Linked DNA regions of Macaca mulatta. The protein of the gene in region 3 interacts with the protein of the main gene of each other region in a biochemical or structural test. Links are inferred from orthologs where the notes say so. Each region holds a gene or a part of one and is shown on either strand. Other genes may lie near its edges.

The links.
Region 1: of the proteins of ASF1B (region 3) and TLK2, one has a biochemical effect on the other in vitro, tested with the Homo sapiens proteins (3 studies listed by BioGRID). The link is inferred for Macaca mulatta from reciprocal best matches to the Homo sapiens genes ASF1B and TLK2.
Region 2: the proteins of ASF1B (region 3) and CHAF1B form a complex in vitro, tested with the Homo sapiens proteins (2 studies listed by BioGRID and IntAct). The link is inferred for Macaca mulatta from reciprocal best matches to the Homo sapiens genes ASF1B and CHAF1B.

The regions. Positions count from the first base shown.
Region 1 is NC_133421.1:72,254,065-72,264,435, forward strand, and holds the start of TLK2 (serine/threonine-protein kinase tousled-like 2), read left to right. Parts: upstream 1-4,389; 5' UTR 4,390-4,418; coding exon 4,419-4,554; intron 4,555-4,825; exon of another isoform or gene 4,826-4,918; coding exon of another isoform or gene 4,919-4,976; intron 4,977-5,359; exon of another isoform or gene 5,360-5,413; intron 5,414-5,720; exon of another isoform or gene 5,721-5,740; intron 5,741-6,076; coding exon of another isoform or gene 6,077-6,079; coding exon 6,080-6,162; intron 6,163-7,401; exon of another isoform or gene 7,402-8,768; intron 8,769-8,811; exon of another isoform or gene 8,812-9,348; intron 9,349-10,314; exon of another isoform or gene 10,315-10,371. UniProt on the Homo sapiens protein: Serine/threonine-protein kinase involved in the process of chromatin assembly and probably also DNA replication, transcription, repair, and chromosome segregation. Phosphorylates the chromatin assembly factors ASF1A and ASF1B.
Region 2 is NC_133408.1:11,017,321-11,026,918, forward strand, and holds part of CHAF1B (chromatin assembly factor 1 subunit B), read right to left. Parts: intron 5,433-9,598; coding exon 5,363-5,432; intron 4,832-5,362; coding exon 4,740-4,831; intron 2,729-4,739; coding exon 2,587-2,728; intron 1,306-2,586; coding exon 874-1,305; intron 1-873. UniProt on the Homo sapiens protein: Acts as a component of the histone chaperone complex chromatin assembly factor 1 (CAF-1), which assembles histone octamers onto DNA during replication and repair.
Region 3 is NC_133424.1:14,719,535-14,729,632, forward strand, and holds the start of ASF1B (histone chaperone ASF1B), read right to left. Parts: upstream 5,146-10,098; 5' UTR 4,533-5,145; coding exon 4,424-4,532; exon of another isoform or gene 4,324-4,423; intron 3,081-4,323; exon of another isoform or gene 2,086-3,080; intron 845-2,085; exon of another isoform or gene 547-844; intron 1-546. UniProt on the Homo sapiens protein: Histone chaperone that facilitates histone deposition and histone exchange and removal during nucleosome assembly and disassembly. Cooperates with chromatin assembly factor 1 (CAF-1) to promote replication-dependent chromatin assembly.

The DNA.
Region 1 (10,371 bases), on a different chromosome or scaffold from region 3:
TTAGGTACAGAGACATAAGGGAGTTGAGAAAAGCTTCAGAGGTTTTCAAAGTGGTTTCCAGACCATCATTGGCCAGCCTCACCTGGGAAGTTGTTAGAAATGCAAATATCAGCTCCACCCCAGACCTGCTGAATCAAACATTCTGGGGGTGGGGCCCAGCAATCTGTTTGAACAAGCCCTCCAGGTGATGATGATGCAACCTAAAGTCTGAGAATCATGTTGAGGTTGGAAAACTACGTTGCAACCAGCAACCTGTTTTTGCAAATAAAGTTTTATTGGAATATATCCATAATCCTTCTTTCAGATATTGTTTGTGGCTATTTCCCTTTTAAACAGCAGAGTTGGGAGTTACGACAGAGACAATACGGCCTGCAAAGCCTGATTCTGCCAAATAACTAGACTAGATTTCCCATACAGGGAGCATAGCCTAGATTTTTTTTCTTTTTTCTTTTTTTTTTGAGACAGAATCTCACTGATAACGCAGGCTGGAGTACAGTGGTGGGTTCTCAGCTCACTGCAACCTCCACCTCCTGGACTCAAGTGATCTCCCAACCTCAGCCTGCCAAGTAGCTGGGACCACGAGCATATGGCAACATGCACAACTAGCTTTTGTATTTTTTTTTAAAGACGGAATTTTTTTTTTTTTTTTTTGAGACAGCGTCTAGCTCTGTTGCCCAGGCTGGAGTACAGTGGTGCGACCTCAGCTCACTGCAAGCTCCACCTCCCTGGTTCACGCCATCCTCCTGCCTCAGCCTCCCAGGTAGCTGGGATTACAGGTCCCCGCCACCATGCCCAGCCAATTTAAAAAACATTTTTAGTGCAGACAGGGTTTCAGCATGTTGGCCGCAGGGGGGCTCAGTCTCCTGACCTTGTGATCCACCCGCCTTGACCTCCCAAAGTGCTAGGATTACAGGTGTGAGCCACTGTGCCCGGCCCAATAATTATTTTAAATAATTACTTTTATTTTATTATTATTATTTTTGAGACAGGGTCTCACCCAGAATGGAGTGCAGTGGTGCCATCTTAGCTCACTGCAACCTCCGCCTCCCAGGTTCAAGTGAATTCTCCTGCCTCAACCTCCCAAGTAGCTGAAAGTACAAGCACGTGCCACTACGTCCAGCTAATTTTTATAGTTTTAGTAGACACAGGGTTTCATCATGTTGGCCAGGCTGGTTCGAACTCCTGGCCTCAAGTGATCCACCCACCTTGGCCTCCCAGAGTGCTGGGATTACAGGAGTGAGCCACTGCGCCCAGCCTAAATTACTTTAAAAAATGGGATCATAGGCAGGATACGGTGGCTCCTGCCTGCAGGCGGGCAGATCACTAGGTTAGTTCCAGACCAGTCTGGCCAACATTGAGAAACCCCATCTCTACTAAAAATACAAAAAATAAGCTGGGTGTGGTGGTGTGCACCTGTATTCCCAGTTACTTGGGAGGCTGAGGCAGGAGAATCACGTGAACGCGGGAGAAAGAGGTTGCAGGGAGCCGAGATCGCGCCATTGCACTCCAGCCCGGGCGACAGTGCGAGACTCCGTCTCAAAAAAAAAAAAAAAATTCCTCTAGCCCAAATCCCTCCATCACAGAAGCAGTTGGAGGAGCTTGAAAAGGTTAGGTAACAGGCCCATGAGGCTTGTCTGTGGAAAGAGCTAGGCTGCAAGACACCTCTGACTCCGTTGAGGGCTTTCTCTTACTCTCCTTTCCCTATTTAAGACATTAAATCATTTAAGACAGTGTCATTTGGTCCGGCACGGTAGCTCACGCTTGTAATCCCAGCACTTTGGGAGGCTGAGGTGGGCGGATCACCTGAGGTGATTGGAGACCAACCTGGCCAACATGGTAAAACCTAGACTCTACAAACAAAAAAAAAAACAAAAAACATATATATATAAGCAGGGCGTGGTGGCACGTGCCTGTAATCCCAGCTACTCAGGAGTCTGACGCAGGGAGAACTGCTTGAACCCAGGAGGCAGAGGTTGCAGTGAGCCAAGATCGCACCACTGCACTCCAGCCTGGGCGACAGAACGAGAGTCTGACTCAGAAAAAAATAAAGTTTTAAAAAGGCAGTGTCATTTGATGGAGTTGCTTTCTTGATCGTTGGCTGCAATTAAAGACCTACCCTCACTGGCTTTTGTGTTGCCTTGGACGGGCTCTTAGGTTCTCCCGCCCTATCAGGCAGTAGAGGCTGGCCTCGAGTGGTAGTCGTCCATCTTGCCCTCTCTTCCTACCCTCTACCCCCCACCCCCTGGCTGCTCTCCTCTCTCCTTCCAACACTATTCTCTTTGGGAATATGCATGTCCAACTTCCCAAGCAGTCTGGGATCTGGAGTAAGACGACTCTTGGTTTAATGGAGTTTTTCCACAGCGCTTGAATGTGCCCCAAGGGTTTGGAAGGTTGGAGAACTAACAAAAAGCAAAGCGCCATCCTGTGTCGTTTTGGCAGGTCTGTGTTTTGGTAATATATGGAAGAATTTAGAGAAGAACGAAGAAATAAGGACAGAAACTCCACTTGGGAGTACTTGTTTAACCCTGAAAAAGTTCAAGGCTGTTGTTCAAGGTCTGAATTTTCCCCTTGAGATTTCGCTTGTAGTCCTTAAAGTCATCTTCCGACATCTGATCAAGGCAGCATCCGCGGAAAATTATAAGGTGGGTGGCTGCACCGGAGACTGTCCTGGCTCAGGGGAGCCGGTGAAGAGTGTGATTTTTTCCCCTTGGCGCTGCGCGATCAGAGTGGGTGCCCTCTGCTATGCAGGAAGCCCTCCTTGCCCACTAGATAGTTCTCATTCCTCAGGAGATATTCTGTCAGGGGCCGGCGTGTTTCTCCGTCTTGGCACTTACCCTCAGACCCTCCTAAGTACCTGGGAGGGCCGTTTTTTTCATCGGAGGTTGAAATGGAACCTCTCCCTGGGTGCCCGGGGACAGTGCCTTGGGGGCAGCGCCCCTCCCTCCGGAGGGCAGCATCCCGGCGGGGGCGGGGGCTCGGCTTTGATCCCAGGGCACCTTTTGTCCCTGGAGACGCTCTGCTAGCCAGGTACGTGGAGTGCAGCCCGCCCTCCGGGGCGCCGCGCGGGGCTGGGGTGGGCCGGCTGCTTCGGGGAGTGGCGGCCGCGAGTCCGCGAACGCAGGTGGGCGCCGTCGCTTCACTAACCGGGCGCCTCCGGGAAGTCCGGGTGGGGTCCGCCGCTCGCACATAGGATTAGCGTCTTCTAAACTCCATCCCTGGGAAAAGCCGCCGCACTTCTCACCCAAACTCGCGGAGCCTAGGGGTTGGGCTGGGGTTGGGAGGGCGCGGGGGCCGGCGAGGCAGATCCAAGAATGGGTGGACCTGGGCGGTCAAGCCCCTCCAGCGCCGGCCCCACTGCCCCGGCCCGGGCAAGTCCAGCGGGGCGGGGACCGGTGACAAAGGCGGCGGCAGGTCCTCCAGGCCTCTGGCCTCCGGCAGTCGCAGGGCGCCCCCGGCCGCCAGACCTCCCCTCGCGTCGCGGCCAGTCCGCCGGCGCCGCCCGTCACCCGCCCTCAGCCGCCCGGCGAGGCGCGGCCTCCTCGGTCGGCGCGGGGTCCCCTGGTTAACCCCTGCCCGGCAGCGCGGCCGCTGATTGGAGGAGGCGGGGCGCCGGGGCAGCGGGGACCCCCCCCAACCTTCCTCGTCCCCTCCCCCTCCTCCCCCACTGTCGGCGCTTCCCCCACCCCCCCCAGGACCCCCCCCTGCCTCCCAGCCGTGCAAATCTCGCGAGGAAACACGCGGTTTCACTAGTGTGTTTACACCGATCACTACTAATCCGGACCGAACCGATCCGGATTAAGGGGCCGGAGGCGGGTCCTGGGCACCAGCGGTTCCGACCCCCCCCGCCCTCCGCGCCGCACCCGAGTGGCCCCCAGCCGAGCGGGCCCCCACCTCCTGGCCCGGCCTGGGCCCTCCTGCGCCTCCCTTGGCCTTTGTCCGGCGCCAGGAGGCCGGTCCCGCGCCCCCCGCGGCCGCCCGGGCCCGGGCCCGCGTCGGGCGCCTGGCTCTGTACGCGAGCCCGGGGATCTGCGGCCTTCGTGCCCCCCCTCCCCCGCCCGCCCTCTCGTGGAGCCGGGCGCCGGCGGCGGCTGCCCGGGCGGGGGGTTGCGGCGTTCAGGAGAGGCCCCGGCTCCGCCCCGGGCCTGCCCAGGGGGAGAGCGGAGCGGCCCGCAGCCGGGTCGGGTCGGGGCCCCTCCCGGGAGGAGCGTGGAGCGGCGGCGGCGGCGGCAGGTGAGAGGCTGAGCCCCGGGCGGGGGAGGGCGCCAGGCCTGGGGCATTAACCGTCCCAGGGACCCCTGTGGCCTGAGGAGCCTGCGACCTGGGCCCCAGCTCGGGGCCGGCTCCGGACCGCAGCTCCTGGGCGCTGAGGCGGGAGGGGCTCCCTGAGGGCTGCGGGTTGCCGAGGGGCCGGGCCGAAGATGGGGGAGGCCCAGGCGGCCCTGGCCTGGGATTGGGGCCGGCGGCCGGAGGAGAGACGGGGGCGCCCCGGCAGCTGGAGGCCTCGGCAGCCTCCCGGGCGCCCCCGAGAGCCGGCCCTCCCTTCCTCCGTGACAGGTGGGCCTGGAGTTGGGGAAAGTTTGGAGCCGGCGAGGGGCGCCGGGACCAGGCCCCGTCGCCCCTGCTTCCCGGCTGTTGGCTGCAGGGAGGATCCCAGTCCAAGGCCCCGCTGGAATTAGACGGAGTGGCTATTTCCTTAACATGAGTTGACATTAAACGGAATAACCGCCGGGGCGTCATTTTCCGGGCCGGGCCTGGGGATGGATAGGTTTGGGAAATGTTGCGAGAGACCTTGGGGTTTGGGAGAGACTGCAACCTCTGCCATTCCGACCTCGATTAGGGCAGGGCAAGAGGCGAGGAAGGCCACGGGGGAAACTCATTCCCCCAGTCTTTTTTTTTCCTTCTTTTTCTTTTTATAAAGATGCATTTCAACCTTTCTGAGAATTTCCTAATTCTCTCTCTAACCTGCACTTGCTTGTGTGGGTGAAACTTTAATTTGTCACCTTTTCATTCCCCTTTGCCCCAGGCTCTCAATCCAGGAAGGGAAATGAAACTGAAGGACTTGTAAGGGGGTTGTTACTGGAGATTGTGGAGTTGTTGGATTGCAGAGGAGAATGTTCGATTCATTTTTTCAGTAACTTTAAAATCACACCAACCATTCCAACTACTTAATAATGTGTTCGAAGGGGTTCTATGTAATGATGTATGCTTCTTTTCCACTGTTAATTTTAAAGGGAGGTTTTCAATGGGTCGTGTAGGAGTTGGTCTCTTGCAAAGGATGGACATATTTGTTGAAAGTAGCCTGTGCATTAATTGGTTATGGAAGTTTAAAAATGGTGTCCTCCTGCCCCTCCCTGCTTGGAAGAAGGGCTAAAAGCAGATGTCCAGAATCAAGAGAAACCTACTGCAGGGAGTGGTCAGAAAACGATTTTTTAAAGGGATTGTTATGGAGCTATATTAATTTCCTGAGTGAATGGAGGTGGATGGTTTCACCGTGGGCTCTCTATTAAATTTAAAATAATTAATTCCTTTTCTCATGAGCTACTGTGAGCTCTTCAGAGAAAGGAGCTGTATTATAGTGTTTTTGCAGTTATTTGTAGCTTCTGATTCATCCTATATTCTTTTGAAATTATTGTCAATGGTTTATATTTTTAGTTTAAGGACTATTTCCTGAGTGGGAAATAAATATCTGAAGATACTTAGCTAGATTCGAAGGCTGATAGAAGGAATTTTCTTTTTGCAGGCTAGTTCTTGTTTTGTTTTTTCCCCTGTGCTCAACTTTGTTACAGAGATTATATGAAGGGTTTGAGGGGTTTATTTTTGCTGTTAAAATCAGATCAGAACTAGGGAAGAATAAGTGACTGTCATAGAAGAGGACTTCTGAGCTGCTTTAGATGTTTTAAATGTATTACTGTTTGATGCAGCACATAGTAGTCTACCACTCGTATGCTGTATTTACTTGAGATTTAACTGCATTTGATCATTCAGTGAAATAATTACTATGAGTTTTGTTCTACAAAAAATTGCCGCCTCACATATTAGTATTTATGGTTTCACAGCCTACTTTTTTCTTTTTCAGTAGAAATGATGGAAGAATTGCATAGCCTGGACCCACGACGGCAGGAATTATTGGAGGCCAGGTTTACTGGAGTAGGTGTTAGTAAGGTGAGTAAAATGATGATAATGAACACTATTCATATTCTGATTTAAACACATTTTTTAAATGATTAAGAGCAACTTGGGTAGGCCCTTCTGATAGTTTGCAGAGGAGATGATTTGGGTCTTAATTTCAATGAACTTTTAGGTCCTACTAGTCATTCCAGTAGTCATTTAACATAGTAGGTTTGAAAATGTTCTATATGGGAATATATGTTTCTTCTTCCTGGCTGGTATAGGAGAGGTTTCTCATGGTTCTTGTTACAAGGAAACTAACAGGATGTGTGTATAGATTCTATGCCATATTTTGTTAAAACTTGTCAGTCATTCAGAAAGAAAATTATAAAGCATTGCATAGCTTTGTTACATTGGACTTTGGAGGTAGTTACATGGTAGAGTTTTGAAAAATTGGCCTCTGTGAAGTCTGCAGACTCTTTACTGGTTGCACCCTCAGACTGGTTTGTTGCTCTTCTCATTCTTCCTTCTTAGTTTTTATTTTTGTTGCAGGAGCATAATATTAGATTAGGCCCCCATTAATGGGCACCTATGAAGTTAAGCAATGTTACAGTTTCCTATGCGTGCTTTTGTACCCACTGGTCCACCCCTCTGCTCTCATAGGATGATTTTACAATGTGTAAAATGTTTGATTTTAATGCAGTATGCAAAGTATATTTACAATATTTTATTTAAAAGCTTCATTGGTCCAAGATCACATTCCTTGGGCTTGAGGTGTGTGAATGTATGAGCTATTGAGTTTTTTTTTTTTTGAGACATAATTTTGCTCTTGTCGCCCAGGCTGGAGTGGAATGACGTGATCTCAGCTCACTGCAGCCTCCGCCTCCTGGGTTCAAGGGATTCTCCTGCCCCAGCCTCCTGAATAGCTGGGATTACAGGCGCCCGCCACTACGCCCAGCTGATTTTTGTATTTTTAGTAGAGACTGGGTTTCACCATCTTGGCCAGGCCGGTCTTGAACTCCTCCCCTCAGGTGATCCACCCACCTCGGCCTCCCAAAGTACTGGGATCACAGGCGGGAGCCACTGTGCCTGACTGAGCTTTTGATCTTTAACCAATGTGATACAACATTTCTTTCTGTGCTTTTCAAGAAATCCTGTCTCATGGTAACCTGGGTGTTGATCTCGTGCTCAGTTAATAGCTTCTCCAAGGAGAAGGCGTGTTGAGGTTTAGTTGGAAAAATGGGCTTCTTTGATGGGTCTCACATTTTGGTGAGCTGGGATAGCTTGATAGGGTTTCGTTTTTTTTGTTTTTTTTTTTTTTTGAGACAGAGCCTTGCTCTGTTGCCCAGGCTAGAGTGCAGTGGCACGATCTCGGCTCACTGCAACCTCTGCCTCCCGGGTTCAAGTGATTCTCCTGCCTCAGCATCCTGAGTAGCTGGGATTACAGGCATGCACCACCACACCTGGCTATTTTTTTTTTATTTTTAGTAGAGACGGGGTTTCTCCGTGTTGGCCAGGCTGGGTCTCGAACTCCTGACCTCAAGTGATCTGCCCGCCTTGGCCTTCCAAAGTGCTAGGATTACAGGCATGAGCCACCGCACCCAGCCAGCTTGATACTTTTTGTTTATTCAACAAATATTGAGCACTTGCTGTATGCTAGGCATTGTGCAAGATATTAGGGCTGATGCTTGAGCACAGTACCTCCACATCTGCAGTTTGGGGAGAGCGAGATGATACCGTGATGAGATCTGTATTACAGCTGTAACAAGGTGCTGTGGGAACACAGGATTTGTTACATATTCTTAATTTCTTTGGCCACTTAGACAGTTTTACTTTTGTGGCACTTTAGAGTGGCTGTACTCCTGGACATTGTATATTGAAGTTGCATGTACAAATGTAAACTCTCTGATCTAGGTGAAGTAGCTTCAAGTAGAAGTGAGCAATGTATTTGAATACTAAATTGATCTCTAAATGACCTCTGATTTGTCTTTTCACTTGAAGATTGAGCATAAGGCTAATATCCAGATCTGTCTGTTTAAATGGTCCCCCGACACCCCCCCTCCCCCATCCTGTAAGTCAGTAAGTTTGTATTCAAATTGTACATAGTTTAAGCTCACTGATCTTTGTCATTAGGGTTGTTGTTCTGTTTTTAGGTTCTTGATGACTGTATCCAAGTATACTTTTGATGGAGTGGGGCATAAGTGATAAGAATGAGTGACATTCAACATGTTGCTGTCTAGCTCCAGCTTAAAATCATGTAACTAAGGTATCAGAAAACTTTAATACAGTAGCCTATCTGTTTAATAGAAAATTCTGCCTTCAACATAGAAAGAAGTTCTCTGTACAGAAAAAGAAATTTACCTATTTCCAGTTTTTTTCTTTGTTTTTGAGAGGGTCTCACTCTCTAGCCCAGGCTGGTGTGCAGTGGCAGGATCTCAGCTCACCTCAACCTCCACCTCCCAGTCTTAAGTGATTCTCCTGCCTCAACCTCCCAGATAGCTGGGATTACAGGCCTGCGGCACTAGCACACTGTTAACTTTTGTATTTTTAGTAGAGATGGGATTTTACCATGTTGGCCAGGCTGGTCTTGAACTCCTGACCTCAAATGATTCACCTGCCTGGCCTCCCAAAGTGTTGGGATTACAGGCATGAGCCACTCACTGCACCCAGCTTTATTTCCAGATGTTTTTATTCCATTAGTTGTTTGTTTGTTTGAGACAGTCGCTCTGTCGCCTAGGCTGGAGTGCAGTGGCACAATCTTGGCCTCCTGCAATCTCTGCCTCCCGGGTTCAAGCGATTCTCCTGCCTCAGCCTCCTGAGTAGCTGGGACTGCAGGCACCCGCCACCACGCCCAGCTAATTTTTGTATTTTTAGTAGATGGGGGTTCCACCGTATTGTCCAGGCTGGTCTCGAACTCCCAACCTTATGATCTGCCTTTCTCGGCCTCCCAAAGTGCTGGGATTACAGGCGTGAGCCACCATGCCCGGCTTCAGTAGTTGTATGTTATTTTGATATTTCCAGTCATGGTTAGTATTGTTGATTACAATGAATTTGTTACTTGAGGACTAGCAGGAGAGTATTTTTTTTTTCCATAACAAAGAAACTTGAAGAAAAAAATTAATTCTGTAGTTTGCAGAGCTGGGAAAATAAAATCTCCATTTTGTATGACTTCTTTTTTTTTTTTTTTTTTTTTTTTTTTTGTGCAACGGAGTCTCGCTCAGTGGCCCAGGCTGGAGTGCAGTGGCCGGATCTCAGCTCACTGCAAGCTCCGCCTCCCGGGTTTACACCATTCTCCTGCTTCAGCCTCCTGAGTAGCTGGGACTACAGGCGCCTGCCACCTCGCCCAGCTTGTTTTTTGTATTTTTTAGTAGAGACAGGGTTTCACCGTGTTAGGCAGGATGGTCTCGATCTCCTGACCTCGTGATCCACCCGTCTTGGCCTCCCAAAGTGCTGGGATTACAGGCCTGAGCCACCGCGCCCGGCCTTTTTTTTTTTTTTTTTTGAGACAGAGTTTCACTCTTGTTGCCCAGGCTGGAGTGCAATGGTGCAATCTCAGCTCACTGCAACCTCCGCTTCCTGGGTTCAAGCAATTCTCCTGCCTCAGCCTCCCAAGTAGCTGGGATTACAGGCACGTGCCACCATGCCCAGCTGATTTTTTGTATTTTTAGTAGAGACGGAGTTTCACCATGTTGGCCAGGCTGGTCTGGAACTCCTGACCTCAGGTGATCCACCTGCCTCGGCCTCCCAAAGTGCTGGGATTATAGGCGTGAGCCACCGTGCCCAGCCTTTGTATTACTTCTTTTACCAGTAAGACATTGTACCTCTCAGACTGTTGATTTGAAATGGGAGTGTGGAGGGGATGATGATACTGGGAGAAAAGGGTGTTTTTGGAAAAACTCCTCTCCCTGGCTTTGAATTCTCATTTCGGATCCTTATTTCTCAATGAGAATATCACACCGTGTTAGGGCCGAGCACAGTGGCTCACCCCTGTAATCCCAGCACTTTGGGAGGCCGAGGCAGGCAGATCATGAGGTGAGGAGATCGAGACCATTCTGGCTAACACGGTGAAACCCCATCTCTACAAAAATATACAAAAAATTAGCCAGGCGTGGTGGCGGGTGCCTGTAGTCCCAGCTACCCAGGAGGCTGAGGCAGGAGAATGGCGTGAACCCAGGAGGCGGGGCTTGCAGTAAGCCGAGATCGCACCACTGCACTCCAGCCTGGGCGACAGAGCAAGACTCCACTCCGTCTCAAAAAGAAAAA
Region 2 (9,598 bases), on a different chromosome or scaffold from region 3:
GGCCTGGTGGAGAAGGAACTACACAGGATCAGAGGAGTAACTGGATATCAGCCGCAGGGAAGGATGGAAACGGGAGGCTGTGCTGCCTGACGGCGAGGGATGTGCTAAGCGGCTCTGTCCAGTAGGAGTGGCAGACACAGGCGTGCGTGCCAGACACAGACGTAAGCAGGGAAGAAATAACTCTGCACCTCCCTGGGGATTATTTATGAGATCAGGACCCCCGTTTCTCACGGACCAGACTGCTGGAGACATCAAACGGAGTCTCAGGAAGACACTCCTGGAATTGCCTACATCCTGGGCAGGACAGCATAAATAAAACACAGGCTCTGCTTCCTGTCCTTGGGGGCTCATAACCAGCAGGGAAACTGAAGCATCAAAGCACCTGCTACAGAATCTGATGTGTGGTGACAAGGGAAAGGCTGAAGGGCCACAGAGCCTGCAAACAGAGAGGCTACATTCACATGGGTCTTTCAGAAGACTCCTGGTGTCACCAAGAGGAAGAGAGGTACAGGGTTTCCCCAGAGAAGGGAAGGACAGAAGCCTCAAAGGGCAGAGTGTGCTCTGGGAAGATGACATTCAGGACTGGGCTAGAGATGAAGGCCATGGACTCAGGAGAGAGAGTGGCCACAGTCCTGGATGACAGGCTGCAGCCAAATCACAAGCCTGGGCTTTATCTGACAGGCAGGAACTGAAGGAACAAACAGGCCTATATGCAAGAAATGACACTCTCGGATTTGAAGTTAAGAATCTCTCTGGCAACCTACTGGCATGAAGTATTCGCCGCCTGGAATTTCACCTGCGGCAGGGTGGGAGCGTTCTGTTTGCATTTCACGTTTCATTTTGCAATGACAACTTGTTCCAACAAGGTCTTACCGGGGCGTTGTCTTGCTCCAGGCTTGCAGTGTGTTCAGAGTGACCCTCCGGGATGGGTGGCCTTTTGTGTTTTGACTACTGGGCTGCAGGGTCTTCTCCTCTGAAGGCCCCGGCAAGGGGCTTTTGACAGCAGGAGTGATGGAGGGAGGGTCTCTGATGGCTGTTGGGGCTGGGGCCTGTCTGGCTTGAGGAGGGGTTGTGCCGGGGCTGCTGGGGTCTTGGCTTCTGCTGGCAGGGGCTCCCTCTACTGGTCTGGGTCCTGGCGAAGACCCTCGATGTGTCTGACTCTTGGTTTTCTTTGCTGTATCAGGAGTTCTCATGCTCAAAACTGGCTTCTCTTTCAAAGGAATTCCAAGTTCATCTTTCTCAAATGTCACAAACGAGCAGTAACCGTCCGTGGAAGAAATGGCCAAGAAGGCGCCATCGCTGGACCTTCATCCCCAAAATAGGGAAAAGTTACAGACCTTACCAACACTCTCACATCTAGTTAGAAGAGGGAAGTTCAAGCAAAATCACAAGCTTGTCTGAAGGCAAAGACCAGGGAAAAGATACGACTGGAAAAGAGTGTGTGATAGCAACTCACTCATGCAGTTTCATCACGATTTGCTAAGTCACTGCAACCTATCTGTGCTACTAGCAACTTGCACTTGAATAGGCCGGGCACAGTGGCTCACACCTGTAATCCCAGCACTTTGGGAGGCCAAGGCAGGTGGATCATTTGAGGTCAGGAGTTCAAGACCAGCCTGGCCAACCTGGTGAAACCCTGTCTCTACTACAAATACAAAGAAATTAGCCAGGCATGGTGGCAGGCGCCTATAATCCCACCTACTCGGGAGGCTGAGGCAGGAGAATCGCTTGAACCCAGGAAGCAGAGGTTGTAGTGAGCTGAGACTGTGCCACTGCACTCCAGCCTGGGTGACAGACTGAGACTCCATTTCAAAAAAAAAACTCACACTGAGCCAAGCAAGCCGCGGGGGCTGAATTGGGGACCCAAAGGTGGTGGAAGGGCAGGGGTGAGTGACATTCTCTAGACAGGCCCAGCTCGGGGCACTTCCCTGTCCTGGGCAGCAGGGACATGCAGGGGAGGGCTTCTTCCCAGAGGGCCTCAGGAATCCCCAGATGGCCAGGGAGTCTACAGGGCCTCCGCTCAGTTTATCAGAGTCCAGTTAACCCCACAAGGCAATCTGAATGCCATCAAAACCCACCAGTGTGAAAATAGGAAGCAAGTATTATGGCAAACTAGAAATGGCTTTTCCTTTTAATGTTGATTCCTTTAAAAAATAAAATTGGGCCAGGTGCAGTAGCTCATGCCTGTAATCCCAGCACTTTGGGAGGCTGAGGCAGGAGGATCGCTTGAGCCCAGGAGCTTGAGACCAGCCTGGCCGACGTGGCGAAGCCCCATCTCTACTAAACCACAAGAATTAGCCAGGCGTAGTGGTGCACACCTGTAATCCCAGCTACTTGGGAAGCTGAGGCATGAAAATCACTTGAACCTGGGAGGTGGAGGTTGCAGTGAAACGAGATCACACCACTGCACTCCAGCCTGGGCGCCAAGAGTGATACTTGGTCTCAAAAAAGCAAATAAGAAACAAAATTGGTGAATATGTCCCCCAAAGCCATCTTTAGTAACGAAATGCTCCCTAACCCCAGGGTCTCTTCCAGGGTATGGCCATGGGCTCCTTCACTCACTCTCCCTCCTTAGCAGCCACTCACCATGAAATGTCACTGAGCGTGTGGTAATGTATATTAGACACGTAACCGAAAGGGAAGGACTGCTGGGTGTCATACAGAAGCACGGAGTCCTCCGAGGCCACAGCAAACACGAGGCGGTAGGGCAGAGTCATCAGCTCCACACCTGGGGGTCGGGGACAGAGACAAAGTAAAACCACAGAAACAAGGCTTCTGACCGGGCGCAATGGCTCACGCCTAGAATCCCAGCACTTTGGGAGGCCGAGCTGGGTGGATCACTTGAGCTCAGGAGTTTGAGACCAGCCTAAGCAACATGGCAAAACCCCGTCTCTATCAAAAATACAAAAGTTAGCCAGGCATGCGGGTGTGTGCCTGTAGTCCCAACTACTCAGGAGGCTGAGACAGGAGAATCGCTTGAACCCAGGAGGCGGAGGTTGCAGTGAGCTGAGATTGTGCCACTGCACTCCAGCCTTGGCGGCAGAGGAAGACTCTATCTCAAATAAAAAAAAGAGAATATTTATAGGAATAAAATACATCCAGCATCCACTAAGGTCAAATTCAGTGTCTGGTATCTAATCAAAAAGTACCAGGCAAACAAAGAAACAGGGAGATATGACCCACAAGGAGGAGAAAAAAAATCAAAACCAACCTGTATACAAGGACATTAAAGGAGCTATTATAACTGTATTCTATAGGCTTAAGAAGCAAGAGGAAACTGAGGTGGGCAGATCACCTGAGGTCAGGAGTTCGAAACCAGCCTGGCCAACATGGCAAAACCTTATCTCTACCAAAAATAAAAACATTAGCTGGGTGTGGTGGCACACACCTGTAATCCCAGCTACTCGGGAGGCTGAGGTGGGAGATTCACTTGAACCTGGGAGGTGGAGGCTGCAGTGAGCCGAGATTATACCACTGCACTCCAGCCTGGGCAACAGAGAAAGACTCCTTCTCAAAAAAAAAAAAAAAAAAAAAAAAAAAAAAAAAAAAAAGAAAGCAGCAAGAGGAAAGATGGAGCGTGGAGAGGCACAAATATATAAGGAAGACCCAAAGTGAACCTCTAGAGATGAGAACCACAACAACGAAAAACACGCCAGATGGGACCAAGGGCAGGGCATGCAGAAGAAAGTGTTAGCAAACTCAAAACACAGCTATACAGACTTCCAAAATCAAACACTGGAAGAAGAAAAAAACAAAAAAAGTAAGCAGTATCAAAGGCCAGGAATGAATTTCAAAGGACCTAATATAACACATGTGCAATGGGGAGTATTTGAATAAGAGAAGGGGATGACAGAAATAATATTTGAAGGAAAAATGGCTGAAACTCCCAAATGTAATAAAAACTATAAACTGATAGGTCTATGAAGTTCAGTGAACCCCAAGCACAAGAAAACATAACGAAAATGGCTGGGCGTGGTGGCTCACACCTATAATCCCAGTACTTTGGGAGACCGAGGTGGGTAGATCACCTGAGGTCAGGAGTTCGAGACCAGCCTGGCCAACATGGCAAAACCCCGTCTCTACTAAAAATACAAAAATTAGCTGGGTGTGGTGGCGTGTGCGTATAATCCCAGCTACTCTGGAGGACAGGTTGGGAGGCAGAGGTTGCAATGAGCTGAGATTGCACCACTGCACTCCAGCCTGGGCGACAGAGCAAGATTCCATCTCAAAAAAAAAAAAAAAGAGAAAAGAAAAGTGATAATGAGAGACATAGACAAACAAAAGGAGTACGGCTATTCCTTTTAAAGTGCCTTAAGAAAATAAATCCTGAAAAAAGAAAAAAAAAAAAAACTGACATGTATTTTGATAACCTCAGTCTTTGCTCCAGCTTTTAAGAATAACTAAACCGGGCCAGGCACGGGGGCTCACACCTGTAATCCCAGCACTTTGGGAGGCCGAGGCAGGTGGATCACTTGAGTCCAGGAGCTCAAGACCAGCCTTGGTAACATGCTGAAACTCTGTCGCTACCAAAAATACAAAAATTAACCAGTCTCATAACCTGGTCTCAAAATAAATAAATAAATAGATTTAAATGTAAAAATAAAATATTTTAAAAATAACTGAACTGAACCAAACCCACATACACACCTTTCCCTGTAAGACAGAATCCAAATCTCCACCCCACTCTGGTGACCCGTTTCGGAGAGAAAACATAATGCACCCTGAGGCACTGAGGATACCTGTTTCCACCACTGGCCTCAGTTCAAAGTAGACCGGACAGCAGCGAACAGCAAGAGTGGCTTTTCCAGGACACGGAAGATGAGCGATGGGCCTAATGGATTAATTGCAGTGTTAGGAAAAGGCACTGTGACTCAGCGAAAGCAAAAATAAAAGGTAAACATTTCGGCAGGGCACGGTGGCTCACGCCTATAATCCCAGCACTTTGGGAGGAGGAGGCAGGCAGATCACCTGAGGTCAGGAGTTTGAGACCAGCCTGACCAACATGACAAAACCCCATCTCTACTAAAAAAAAAATACAGGCCGGGTGCAGTGACTCATGCTTGTATTCCCAGCACTTTGAGAGGCTGAGGCAAGCGAATCACTTGAGGTCAGGAGTTTGAAACCAGCCTGGCCAACATGGTGAAACTTCATCTCTACTAAAAACAGAAAAATTAGCTGGGGGTGGTGGCGGGCACCTGTAGTCCCAGCTACTCGGGAGGCTGAGGCAGGAGAACCACTTGAACCCGGGAGGCAGAGGTTGCAGCGAGCAGAGATCGCACCATTGCACTCCAGCATGTGCAACAAGAGCAAAACTCCGACTAAAATAAAGGTAAATATTTCAAACATTTCCTTGACTGCATACCTTTTAAGATTCTTCCTGGAGAAAACATAAGTGGTATTCATTACATTTTCACCAGATTCCACACATCCAGCTGGGGAGCAGGGAAGGGAGGGAGAGGAAAGAAAAGTCACTGTTTCAGCAAACTGTTCTATTCTGTTCACCAACGGAAACTCAAGAGCCTTCAGTTCCGGTTTGCAAAATAGCTCCCCCTGAAGTTATATTCTCTAGACAATGTTGTGACTGAGCACAAAAACAAATATTCCAGCACTGTCTGGTCTCGGCCTTTACTCCAGTTCTACCTACTTGTCATCTCCACCTACCTGTGGGCAGTCCCTGGGGACCCGGTTCTGATCTTGGGCCGGGAGAACATAGTGAGCCTTTGCCACAGGGCACCTTTGAGCCTCCAGGCAATTCCTCGATTGATGCACCGTGACTAGATTCAGCTGCCCAGGCTCCTTTCTCCCTAAGACCCTCATCTCTATTCCCTGGATTCCAGCCTTGGATGCTATCCAAAGGCTGAGACTAGCCTTTCCCCAACTTCCCTATCCAGCCATGAGGCTGCCAGGAGACCTTGCCCTCTGCTGAAACCTCCAGCCTCCTTCAGAACCTGACTTTGCTCTGGGGAACAGTCTCCATCTGAGAGCTCTTCTCCACTCACCCCGTGCTGTACTTAAAACAGTTCAGGCCTGTCAGAGTGACCATCATACACTGCTGCTCTTACACTAACATCTCCCTGTTTTATATTATTTCTTGATACATATACACACACATAACTTTACATATGACCGTTTCATATCTACCAGGGAGGGCAGTAGACAGTATCAATAGTCTTTTTTTTTTTTTTTAATTAATACATTCTACATAGCTGCCCTCTTTTCTTTTGAGACAGAGTCTTGCTCTGTCACCCAGGCAAGACTGGGTTTTGGCTCACTGCAACCTCCACCTCCAGGGTTCAAGCAATTCTCCTGCCTCAGCCTCCTGACTAGCTGGGATTACAGGCGCCTGCCACGATGTCCGGCTAATTTTTGTATTTTTAGTAGAGATGGGGCTTCACCATGTCGGCCAGAGGGATCTCAAACTCCTGACCTCAAGTGATCTGCCCTTCTCGGCCTCCCAAAGTTCTGGGATTACAGGCATGAGCCACTGCACCCAGGCCCCTCTTTTCATCCCACTCCATTCTTCCATCCCCAAGAAATCCATTTTAACATTCAACAAACCATTATGTCATCTGTATATTTCCCCCATGCTCACAAAATCATTACAATCAGTTATAACTCAATCACATATATACCTCTATGATTTTTTTTTTTTGAGACAGAGTCTAGCTCTGTCGCCCAGGCTGGAGTGCAGTGGCACGATCTCGGCTCACTGCAAGCTCCGCCTCCCAGGTTCACGCCATTCTTCTGCCTCAGCCTCCCGAGTAGCTGGGACTACAGGCGCCCACCACCACACCTGGCGAATCTTTTTGTATTTTTAGTAGAGATGGGATTTCACCGTGTTTGCCAGGATGGTCTCGATCTCCTGAACTCATGATCCACCCACCTTGGCCTCCCAAAGTGCTGGGATTACAGGTGTGAGCCACCGCGCCTGGCGGAGGATTTTTTTTTATTTAGTCCATTTGTTTTACAAAGCAGGGTATTATTGACACTTCTCCTTATTTTGCTAGTTTCAATCCACTACTCATGAAAATTAACTTGCATAGCACTGATGCATTATTTTTTTGTAGCTGCATAATATTTACTGCAAGATTCATTCACCCAACCTCTGTTAATGAGTATTTATTTGCTTTTGGTTTTTTACCACTATAAACAATGCTTGCAATAAGCATACTTGAACATACACTTTTTTTTTTTTTTTTTTTTTTTTTTGAGACAGAGTCTCACTCTGTTGCCCAGGCTGGAGTGCATTAGCGTGATCTTGGCTCACTGCAACCTCTGCCTCCTGGGTTGGAGCAATTCTCCTGCCTCAGCCTCCTGAGTAGCTGGGACTACAGGTGTGCATCACCACGCCTGGCTAATTTTTGTATTTTTAGTAGAGACAGGGTTTTGCCATGTTGGCCAGGCTGGTCTTGAACTCCAGACCTCAGGTGATTCACCCACCTTGGCCTACCAGAGTGCTGGGATCACAGGCTTGAGCCACCACGCCCGGCCAGTTTCCAGTCTTAATTGGGTCTTCTCCATTCGTAGAATGTCCTTCTATATTTCCTTATAAGAGTTTTCTATTTTTACCTTTTGTGTTTAAGTACTGAATTCACCTGGAATTTATTTTTTATATCTAGGGAAGGGGTCCAATTTTATCTTCTTCCACATATCTAGCTACCCCAGCACTACTCATTCAATAACAGAGTCCTCCCTTTGCAAGATCCATCTCTTGTACAACATGGTGATTATGGTTCATAACAATGTACTATATTCCTGAAAAATGCTAAGAGAGTAGATATAAAGTGTTCAAACCACAGAAATCCTAATTATGTGAGATCATGCTATGCTAATTAGCTAGATTTAGTCATTCCACAACATATATATACTTCAAAACATGTCATACACAACTACATACAATTTCATCTGTCAATTAAAAAAAAAGAGAGGAGGCTGGGTGTGGTGGCTCATGCCTGTAATCCCAGCACTTTGGGAGGCTGAGGCAGGTGGATCGCCTGAGGTCAGGAGTTCGAGACCACCCTGGCCAACACGGTGAAACCTTGTCTCTACTGAAAATACACAAATTAGCTGGGCATGGTGGCAGGCGCCTGTAATCCCAGCTACTCGGGAGGCTGAGGCAGAAGAATCGCTTGAACCTGGGAGATGGAGGTTGCAGTGAGCCAAGATCACGCCAATGCACTCAAGCCTGGGCGACAAGGGTGAAACTCTGTCTCAAAAAAAAGAGGAATAGGTCTTTGTCCAATCTCAACACTTCCCAGCCTTCTTAATGACAAATTCTTGTCCTATTTGCCTTCAGTGTCTAATTCTCTTGAGAATTATTTAAGTAACATACAATTAATTACAAATAAATAACAGATTTTTTTTCCACTGGAACAGTACCTGAGGTCATATATTAAATTGCCTTATATCCTGAGATCTTCTTCTGAACTCTGTGTTCTGGTCCACTAATCTATTTGTTTGGTCCTCTAGCAACACCATACTGATTGGATAAAAGTAGTGTTATAGTATCTTCTGACATGTGGCGAGGCAAATGCCCTCCCAACCAAGTATCACTGGGTTTTTTTCATACTTCCTTGGCTATTCTTCAGCATTTATTCTACTAAACAAAGCTGAAATTTCATCCAATTAAAAAAAAAAAAAAACTTTAATGCAATTCTAATTGGAAATGAAATTGGTATGTTAATTGTTAGAACATGATATATCTTTCCATTTGTTCAGAACTTGTTTTATAACCTTCAATAAGACCTTCTAGGCTTCTCCATAAAGGTCCTGCCCCTTCCTTATTAAATTTACTTCTGCCGGGGTGTGGTGGCTCACACCTGTAATCCCAGCTCTTTGGAAGGCTGAGATGGGAAGGCTGCTTGAGCCCAGGAGTTTAAGACCAGCCTGGGCAACACAGCAAGACCCTGTCTCTACAAAAAAATAAGAAAATTAGCCGGGCATGGTGCTACATGCCCATGGTCTCAGCTACTAGGGAGGCTGAGATGGGAGGATTCCCTGAACTCAGGAGATCAGGGCTGCAGTGATGCAGTGGGCCATGATCACACCACCATACTCCAGCCTGGGTGACAGAGTGAGACCCTGTCTCAAAATAAATAAATAAATAAATACATTTACTCCATGTGTTTTGCAGGCTTTGCACTACAATGAATAAAATATTTCTCCTCCTTCCATTTCTAAGTACTCACTGCCAATATAGACGAAAGATCACAGATTTTTATATATTTTACACTATCCAGCCATCTTATCAAATTATTTTAAAAATTCTAATAGTATTTTTTTTTTTTTTTTTTGAGACGGAGTCTCGCTCTGTCACCCAGGCTGGAGTGCAGTGGCCGGATCTCAGCTCACTGCAAGCTCTGTTCTAATAGTATTTTTTAAATCTCTTGGATTTTCTAGAAACACAATCGTATTACAGATTTTTATCTCTTCTTTTCCGATCTTTGTAATTTCATTTTCCTGTTTTTCCCACACTAACACCACAAAGAACAATAATGTTGATAACAGACATCCACCCTGCTTGATTTTAATTGAAAATATTTTTAGAGTGGCCACTTAGTAAAGGATTTGAAACTGGGGCCCGGCACGGTGGCTCACA
Region 3 (10,098 bases):
GGAGTGCAATGGCGCAATCTGGGCTCACTGCAATTTCCACCTCCCGGGTTCAAGCGGTTCTCCTGCCTCAGCCTCCTAAGTAGCTGGGATTACAGGCGCCTACCACCCTTCCCAGGTAACTTTTGTATTTTTAGTAGAGGCAGGTTTTCACCACATTGGCCAGGCTGGGCTCAAACTCCTGACCTCAGATGATCCGCCTGCCTTGATCTCCCAAAATGCTGGGATCACAGGCGTGAGCCACTGTGCCTGGCCTGTTGTTGTTTTTTGAGACAGAGTCTTGCTCTGTCACCCAGGCTGGAGTGCAGTGGCACAACCTCAGCTCACTGCAACCTCTGCCTCCCAGGTTCAAGCAATTCTTCTGCCTCAGCCTCCCGAGTAGCTGAGATTATAGGCGCCCACCACCAAGCCTGGCTAACTTTTGTATTTTTAGTAGAGATGGGGTTTCACCATGTTGGCTGGGCTGGTCTTGAACTTCTGACCTCAGGTGATCCACCTGCCTTGGTCTCCCAGAATGCTGGGATTATAGGCGTGAGCCACCGTGCCCAGCCTGTTTTTTTTTTTTTTTTTTTTTTGCCTTTGTTCATAATCAAAGATCAGTCCTGCTGCCATAACAGCTTTGTTAGTTCTGGGTCAGAACATCTGGCTTCTATGACTTACTCAACCAGTGTCTGTTGAATTTCTCAGCTAAACATGGAAGCATCTATTTCCAGATGTGGAAGATAAAAGTGCAAAGGGGGCTTGAGGCCCTTGAGAAATAGGAGTCACTCAACTGGGGCTTAGGAGTTAGGGTGGTTTTTTTTTTTTTTTTTTTGAGATGGGGTCTTGCTCTCTCACCCAGGCTGGAGTACAGTGGTGCAACCATGGCTTACGGCTTACTGCAGCCTTGACCTCCTGGGCTCATACAATCCTCCCATTTCAGCCTCCTCAGTAGCTGGGACCACAGGCACATGCAACCAAGTCCCATTAATTTTTTGATGTTTCTGTAGAGACAACGTTTTGCTATGTTACCCAGGCTGGCCTAAAACTCCTGGGCTCAAGAGAGCCTTCTTCCTTAGCCTCCCAAAGTGCTGGGATTACAGGAATGAGCCACCTCGCACAGCTGGATTGGGGGTTTTGTCAAGATTTTCAGTTGACACTGCTGAGAGTGAGCCAGATTCTCTTTTTCATGGAGAGGAGGCCAGAAAGAGGCAGAAAGCAAGCTGGCAGATCAGTCACAGAGAGCCCTAGGACTGGAAGAGCCAGGATTTCTCACTTGAGTTTCTTGAAGGAAAAGCTTTATCATCCGGGTGCAATTAACAATAGCATTCCCTGGCCGCGTGCTTGTGATTCAAAGTGTAATCCCAGCACTTTGGGAGGCTGAGGCGGGCAGATCACTTTCGGTCAGGTTTGAGATCAACCTGGCCAACATGGTGAAACCTCATCTCTACTAAAAATACAAAAATTAGCCGGGCATGGTGGCTCAAGCTTGTAATCCCAGCTACTTGGGAGACTGAGACCACAGAATCGCTTGAACTCAAGAGGTGGAGATTGCAGTGAGCTGAGATCGCGCCACTGTACTCTAGCCTGGGTGACAGAGTGAAACTCCATTTCAAAAAATAAATAAAATAAAATAATAATAATAATAATAGCATTCCCCTTTACTGTGTTTTGAGTATCCTGATTAGGCAATAAATTGTATGGTCATTCCTATCTATGCTCCACCTCTGAAATAGGGAATCCTTCTTCCTTTCTTTCCCTGGATCGGAGCAAAGATAAAGAACTTAGATTCAAAACTTCAGTGCCAATATTTCTACAAACTGGCTGGGTGACCCTGGATAAATCACTCCATTTCTATTAAAAGATGACCAGCAGAGGCTGGGCACGGTGGCTCATACCTGTAATCCCAGCATTTTGGGGGGCTGAGGCGGGCAGATCACCTGAGGTCAGGAGTTCGAGACCAGCCTGGCTAACATGGTGAAACCGCATCTCTACCAAAAACACAAAAATTAGCTGGGCGTCATAGCAGGCACCTGTAATCCCAGCTACTCGGGAGGCTGAGGCAGGAGAATTGCTTGAACCCGGGAGGCGGAGGTTGCGCCACTGCACTCCAGCCTGGGGGACGAGAGTGAGACTTCGTCTCCAAAAAAACAAAAAAAGGAGCAGCAGGTTGAATTTAGCCTTTCTGCCTCTAATTCTATAAATAAGTAAAGTCACAGGGCAGGGGCTTCCTAGGAGAAGTACCAGATAATGACCACACAACCATTTTTAAATGCAAGGAACACAAACAGGCTGATTGAAACCTGATCTCCTGCCGCCTGGGAGCTGGGAATCCCTCAACCTATTACTTCCTTCCATTTCCTCCTGGCTTTTAAATTAAATCTTATTCCACAGTGTCATTCTACACTTTATTTATTTATTTACACGCTGCCCTGTTCCAGAAAGGATTTAACTCGGCTTATTCTATAGTTAGCCACAAGTAGACTGCTTAATTTAAAAAGGAGCAAGACAGACCGGGGAGAGAGAGACCCACTGGCCTACCCGAAGCACATCCACATCTCACTCTATCAGCCCCAAGCTAGTCCAGGTGACCAGCTTTGAGGGCCAAACACCCACCTGCCCCCGAAAGGCACTAGTTAGCACATCCTGGCTTCACAGGCCCCCAGATCGCTACCTCCTCGGCTACTGCCTTTTCTCTTTTAACCACCAAGTAGAAAAATGGCCTAATGGAGTACTTCTTTCTGAAAGCAGGACTTGCATTTTAGTGGTGCCAAGGCTCCCTGGGTGACCTTAGATTTTGGATTTGTACAGGCCTTGACTTGAAAGGTCTTTTGCGCTTTGTGGCTCCTGTCTTCTCATCTGTGAGATGAGAGCCATGTCCACCTTTAAGTCACACAGATTAACAAGTACATCTGCAGAAGCACCTTGGAAAAGATGTACAGGAGGCTGTGACCTCCGGGCTCCAGGTGACTGTTTGAAGCTGGAGCCTGTCACAGCTCAGCCCAACCCACTCACCCTCCAGACTAGGTCAGACCATCAAAAGCAATGGAAGCTTGGCACTGATTATCCAGCTATATTAAAAAAAAAAAAGAAAAAAAAAAAAGACCGGGCGCGGTGGCTCACGCCTGTAATCCCAGCACTTTGGGAAACCAAGGTGGGTGGATCACTTGAGATCAGGACTTCGAGACCAGCCTGGCTAATGTGGTGAAACCCTGCCTCCAACTAAAAATACTAAAATTAACCGGGCATGGTGACAGGTGCTGGTAGTCCCAGCTACTCGGGAGGCTGAGGCAGGAGAATTGCTGAGATCGTGCCACTGCATTTCAGCCTGGGCAACAGAGCAAGAGTCTGTCTCAAAAAAAAAAAAAAAGAAAAAAGAAAAAAAAGAAGAAAGAAAAAGCGAGGGAAGAACTGCTGTAGTAACTCAGTTGGAAATGGGTGGGCAAACCTGGAGAAGCAGCTAATACCTGCCTGGCTATGCCAGCCCTCAGATCTCAGTGTGTTTATCCAAGTCCACAGAAGAGGGTGGGGAAGGGGAGCTGGGGAGACCAAGTTCCCCTCAAAGACGGTAGCATCCTTTCCCAGGGGGAGCTCAAGCATAGCAGGGGTTGGGCCCCAACGAAGGAGGAACCAGGTTCCAGGGTATGTGCAATGGCAGAAAAGCAACAGCAACTGGTGCGGGTGGGGTTGTTGAAATATTGGCAGGTTGGGGAGGGGATTGGTGGGAGACAAATGGGAAGATGGGGGCGAGGGCGGTCCTGAAAAGGGGTTGAGGGGTTTTCACAGCGAAAAACGGTTACTGGTGGGGAGCGTCTTCACGGTGAGGAGGGAAAGGAGCTTGCGTGAGAGATCTCCATAGGGAAAATAGCAGATGGCTAGGATTTCCCCCGGGGAAAATGGGAAGGGGCTGGACATTCGGAGTCTCCAGAGGGAAAATGGGAGGTGTGAGTATCTCACTAAAGAGGGAATAAGTGGGCAAAAATGGGTGGGTGGCTAAAGCGCGGGTCTTGCCACAGGGAAATCACGGTGGCTGAAGATCTCCGTGGCTTAAGAAATGGAGGCCAAGAAGATCTCTCCATGAAAACGGGTACCTAGGAAGACCTCCAGATTAAAAAGATGGATGAGGTTTCCCACGCGGGAAGTGGGGCTTGACTGGGGTTAATCTTTATGGGGAGGTCGGGGCGGGCAGTGGGGGAAGAGGTCACGGGGAGGTCCGAGTTAGCTAGCTGGGGGTCTCCACCCGGGAGGTCAAGGCGGGCAGTGGGAGAGGAGGTCACGGGGAGGTCCGAGTTGGCTGATGGCGGGGAGTCTCCACCCGGAGATCGGGATTGGCGGAAAGGGGACGAGGGGTTTCATGGGGGAGATCAAGTTGGCCATGGGAGCGCTTCTCCAAGGGGAGGCCGGGGTCGGCCCGGGGGTGGGGGTCCCCGCACGGGCCCAGCCTCACCGTCCGCCAGGGCTTCACTGCACTCGAAGCTGATCTCGAACCGGAAGGGGCTGTGGAAAGGGCTCGGGTTCTCCAGGACCGCCACGTTCAGCACCGACACCTTGGCCATCGCCTCGCCTCGCCTCGCCTCGCCGCGCCGCGCCGCGCCGCAGCAGGGGCAGGGGCAGGGGCAGGGCTGTGGCTGTGGCGGAGGCCGCGCCTGGGTCCGGTGAGTGGGGGGGCGTCAGTGGGGTACGGCAGACCAAGTCCACTCCCGCCTCTTCCCTCCGCGGACTGAAGTGCGCACCTAAACCGCGGACCGCCTTCAAATAGCCGGCCTCCGCCCTCTGGCCAATCACCGCCAACGCTCCCCTGGCGGCGCGCGCACCCCCTCAGCCAATCCTGGAGCGCCAGTCGGCGCGCGCCCAGACTCCCCGGACCAATCAGCGGAGCTCCCTCTCCGCGGCGTGTGAGGAGGGCGAAACCATCTCCAGGCTTCTTAGCGTGTCCGCTGGGAACCAATCCCCAGCGTCTCCGACTCGGATGTCAACGGCGGGAGTGGACGGAGTCAGAGCGCCGGACTCCTTCTGCCCAATCCTGAGGGTTCCCGCACCGGCGTAGCCCGCCCCTCGCCTCGCTTTTCCGGGAGCTGCATCCCGCACCGCGCAGCGCCGCCAACCGCCGAGCGGTGGCGCGCGGCGCTCGCTAAAGAAGGCGGGAAGGGCGGTGCTCGCACCCTCAGTGATTGGCAGGAGGGAGTGGGGCGGAGATAAAGAGGGTTTTCTGAGAGTTGATTGGCTGGATTGGTAATAGTGCCGGGAGCAGAATGAGGCTCAGCTGGGGATTCGCTGGAGAGAAGCGGAAGTCGAGCGCCGCCGCGGTGCTGGCGAGTGTGAAAAAAGAGGAGGAGGGTTGCGCCCTCAGCGTCTGTCAACAGGTGAGCGTAGTCTGGAGCTTTTCTGAGTGGCTCCTGACCCTTGAGGTCCAGCGGCCCTGGAGTCCGTTGTGAACGTTGCGAACGTTCGGAGTGGCGGTCACGCGGCGCGCTGGGACCTCGGGAGTCCAGCCCGGTTCGGATCCCGCTTTCGCCCACGAGGGGTTCGAATCCCGCTCTCGCCCCCGAGGGGTTTGGATCCCGCTCTCGCCCCCTCAAGGGCTCTTGGAAGGTTTCAAGCAGACGGTACTGAAAATGGGAGTTTCAGTTCGGGGGCAGACCAGTGTTCGAGTCCGGGCTCTGCTACTCAGCTCCTGAGGCAGCGTCTCTCCATTCAACGGGGGCAGTGGCAATTCCCTGACATGATTCATGACCGCACAATACATCCGGAAACTTCTCTCCGCCGCATCCCGTCGCCCCCGGCCTGGGAGACTCCAGGTCGCAGAGTCTCTGCCCCCACGGGCGATCAGCTCTACCCAGTGGAAAAATAATGCCAGCCGCGCACCTAATTTTACATTTTTTGGAAACCACTTTTTTTTTCTTTGAGACGGAATCTCGCTCTGTCACCCAGGCTGGAGTGCAATAGCGCGATCTCGGCTCACTGCAACCTCCACCTCCCGGGTTCAAGCGATTCTCCTGCCTCAGCCTCCTGAGTATCTGGGATTACAGGTGACCACCACCACAACCAGCTAAATTTTTTTCTGTATTTTTAGTAGAGACCGGGTTTCACCTTGTTGGCCAGGCTGGTCTCAAACGCCTGATCTCAAGTGATCCGCCCGCCTTGATCTTCCAGAGTGCTGGGTTTACAGGCATGAGCCACTGTACCCAGCCATATCTTTTTTTTTTTAATTTAAGATTTACTTTTTTTTTTTTTTTTTTGAGACGGAGTCTCGCTCTGTCGCCCGGGCTGGAGTGCAGTGGCCGGATCTCAGCTCACTGCAAGTTCCGCCTCCCGGGTTTACGCCATTCTCCTGCCTCAGCCTCCCGAGTAGCTGGGACTACAGGCGCCCGCCCCTGCGCCCGGCTAATTTTTTCTATTTTTAGTAGAGACGGGGTTTCACCATGGTCTCGATCTCCTGACCTTGTGATCTGCCCACCTCGGCCTCCCAAAGTGCTGGGATTACAGGCGTGAGCCACCACGCCCGGCCTAGTTTTTTTTTTTTTGTATTTTTTAGTAGAGACGGGGTTTCACCGTGTTAGCCAGGATGGTCTCGATCTCCTGACCTCGTGATCCGCCCGTCTCAGCCTCCCAAAGTGCTGGGATTACAGGCTTGAGCCACCGCGCCCGGCCAAGATTTACTTTTTTTTAAAAAAATTAAATTTTAGAGGCTGGGCATGGAGGATTTCTTGAGGCCAGGAGTTCAAGATCAGCCTGGGCAACATAACAAGACCTCATATTTACAAAAATATAAAAGAATAAGCCAGGTGTGGTAGTGCATACCTGTAGTCTCTGCTACTCCTGAAGCTGAGGCAGGAGGATCTCTTGAGCCCAGGATGCTCCAGCCACTGCACTCCAGCCTGAGTGTCAGAGTGAGATCCTGTCTCTCAAAATTAAAATTAAATTTTAGGCCGGGCGCGGTGGCTCAAGCCTGTAATCCCAGCACTTTGGGAGGCCGAGACGGGCGGATCACGAGGTCAGGAGATCGAGACCATCCTGGCTAACATGGTGAAACCCCGTCTCTACTAAAATATACAAAAAACTAGCCGGGCGCGGTGGCGGGCGCCTGTAGTCCCAGCTACTCGGGAGGCTGAGGCAGGAGAATTGCGTGAACCCGGGAGGCGGAGCTTGCAGTGAGCTAAGATCCGGCCACTGCACTCCAGCCTGGGCGGCAGAGCAAGACTCCGTCTCAAAAAAAAAAAAAAAAAAAAAATTAAATTAAATTTTAGAAAAGAAAGTTCAGTTTAGGTGTCTTGATAGCCACAGTTGAGTGCTCCTGAACCCCTGTGACAAGTGGCTCCTGTATTACTGGACAGTGAAGGTCAAAAACACATTTGACCAGGTCACTTCTCAGGATGAGAGCATTGTCTTCGAAACTATGCTTTGTCTCCTCTTAACTACCTAGCTCCAATTTCAAACCAGCCTAAGTAACCCTCTTTTTGTTAAAAATCTGACAGGCCACTCCCAGTGCAAAGCTCTGCCCAGAACCTCTTCTTCTGGGCTCTTGGCTGGCTTATGCCTTCTCGTCATTCAAGTCTCTGTTCAAATGTCCTCTCCCCAGAGAGGGCTTTCTAAGGGTGCCCTGGACAGTGTTCAAAATCACAGGCCGTAAGCCTGAATAGCACTGATCAAAGGCACTAGTATTTCTTACCTAGTCACCTCTGGAAACAATCCAGTTCCTGTGGGATTTTTTTTTTTTTTTTTAAACAGAGCTCTGTTTCCCAGGCTGGAGTGAAGTGGCATGATCATGGCTCACTGTAACTTGGAACTCTTGGGCTCAAGTGATCCTCCCACCTCAGCCTCCCAAGTAGCTGGGATCACCAGTGCGTGCCACCATGCCTGATTTGTTTTACTTTTTTTTTTTTTTTTTTTTTTTTGAGAGGGAGTCTTGCTCTGTCACCCAGGCTGGAGTGCGGTGGTGCGATCTCGGCTCACTGCACCCTCCTGCTTCTGGCTTCAAGCGATTCTCCCACCTCAGCCTCCTGACTATATGGGACTACAGGCACACGCTACCTTGCCTGGCTAATTTTTGTATTTTTAGTGAAGATGGGGGTTTCACCATGTTGGCCAGGCTGGTCTCAAACTCCTAACCTCAGGTGATCCACTCGCCCCAGCCTCCCAAAGTGCTGGGATTACAGGCATGAGCCACCATGCCCTGCCTGTTTTACTTTTTAAATTTTTTGTAGAGACAGGGTCTCGCTGTTGCCCAAGCTGCTCTTGAAACTTCCGGCCTCAAGCAGTTCACCTATCTTGTCTTTAAATGCTGAGATTACAGCGCCTAGCCCATTTTTTTTGGTGTGTACATCTCACATTAAGAAAAAATTTTTTTAGCTGTTAAAAAAAATTGAAAGCTTTTTAATATTCTTTTGAAATTATTTGGCTTCAAGGAAGCTCACATTTATGATTCCTTTGATTTCTTGGCAATCGTTGCATACTTGGGGATATTTGTGATTTGAGAAAATCTAATTTCCAAATGTAATTCGATTGCTTATGAATACTAAATTTAATGATTAATGCAGTTGTCATGATGTCATATTTCTAGATGCTTATTTAAATATTTATTCATTCCAACTTTGTAGTTTTATCTTTGCATTGTGGAACTTTTTTCCCTTTATCCCTATCCCTGACCTTTTCATAGCCCCTGAGAAGCTCATGAGCCACCAGCATTATTTCCGTGGCGCTAATGAAGAAAGTGGCCCTGTCTATGATGCATTCTCCTTACAGCTGGCTGAATGATCTTCACTTGTAAACCAGATCATGTCATTACTCTGCTTAAAACCTTCAAAGGCTTATCCTACTTAGAATGAAACCTAAGATCTTTCCTATGGCTTAGGCTGCCCTGCGTGGTAGCCTCAGCTGACCTCTCAGGCCTCATCTACCATTCTTCTTGTCACTGCTTTCAAGCCCAGCTGGCTTTATTCCCCTTCTTTCAACACACCCAGCTTATTTCTGCCGCAGGGCTTTGCACTTGCCGTTCCCTCTGCCTGGAATGTGCTTCCTCCGGATAATTGCATGGCTGTCTCATTCTCTTCGCTGTGGTTCAGCTCGAATGTCCTCTGAAAGAAGACTTCCCAAAGTACCCTATTTAAAGTACCCTTTCTTGGCCGAGCACGCTGGCTCATGCTTGTAATCCCAGCACTTTGGGAGGCCAAGGCGGGCAGATCGCGAGGTCAGGAGATCAAGACCATCCTGGCTAACATGGTGAAACCCCATCTCTACTAAAAATACAAAAAAATTGGCCAGGCACGGTGGCTCACGCCTGTAATCCCAGCACTTTGGGAGGCCGAGGCAGGCGGATCATGAGGTCAGGAGATCGAGACCATCCTGGTGAACATGGTGAAACCCCGTCTCTACTAAAAATACAAAAAAATTAGCCGGGCGTGGTGGCGTGTGCCTGTAGTCCTAGCTACTTCAGAGGCTGAGGCAGAGGAATTGCTTGAACCTGGGAGGTAGAGGTTGCAGTGAGCTGAGATTGCGCGACTGCACTCCAGCCTGGTGACAAAGGAAGATTCCATCTCAAATAAATAAATAAATAAATAAATAAATCAATAAATCTATGTAAAGGGTGAGTTTAGCATATACCTGGAATGTGAAAAGTACTCAGTGTGAACCAGCCAGGTGCAGTGGCTCACGCCTGTAATCCCAACACTTTGGGAGGCTGAGGCAAGTGGATTACTTGACCTCAGGAGTTCAAGACCAGCCTGGGAAACATAGCAAAACCCCAACTCTACAAAACATAAAAAAATCAGCCGGGTGTGGTGGCATGTGCCTGTGGTCCCAGCTACTCAGGAGGCTGAGGTGGGAGGACTGCTTGAGCCCCAGGGGCAGAGGTTGCAGTGAGTCAAGATCGTACCACTACACTCCAGCCTAGCTAGGCAATAGAGCGAGACCCTGTCTAAAAACAAACAAAAAACTATGAACTTAGTAGCACATAGTGATAAGCAGGTATGTCTTCATTCTTCCTGTGTAATAGTTCAGGTGCACACATGCTCAAGAAAGTGTAAGAAGTGCTATAGCAAAATACTGTTACCCAGCTTGAAAGCTAAAACATTAGAGATGCAACTGAAGGGCCTTATACCCTACATGAAACCCATTCCTCTTCCT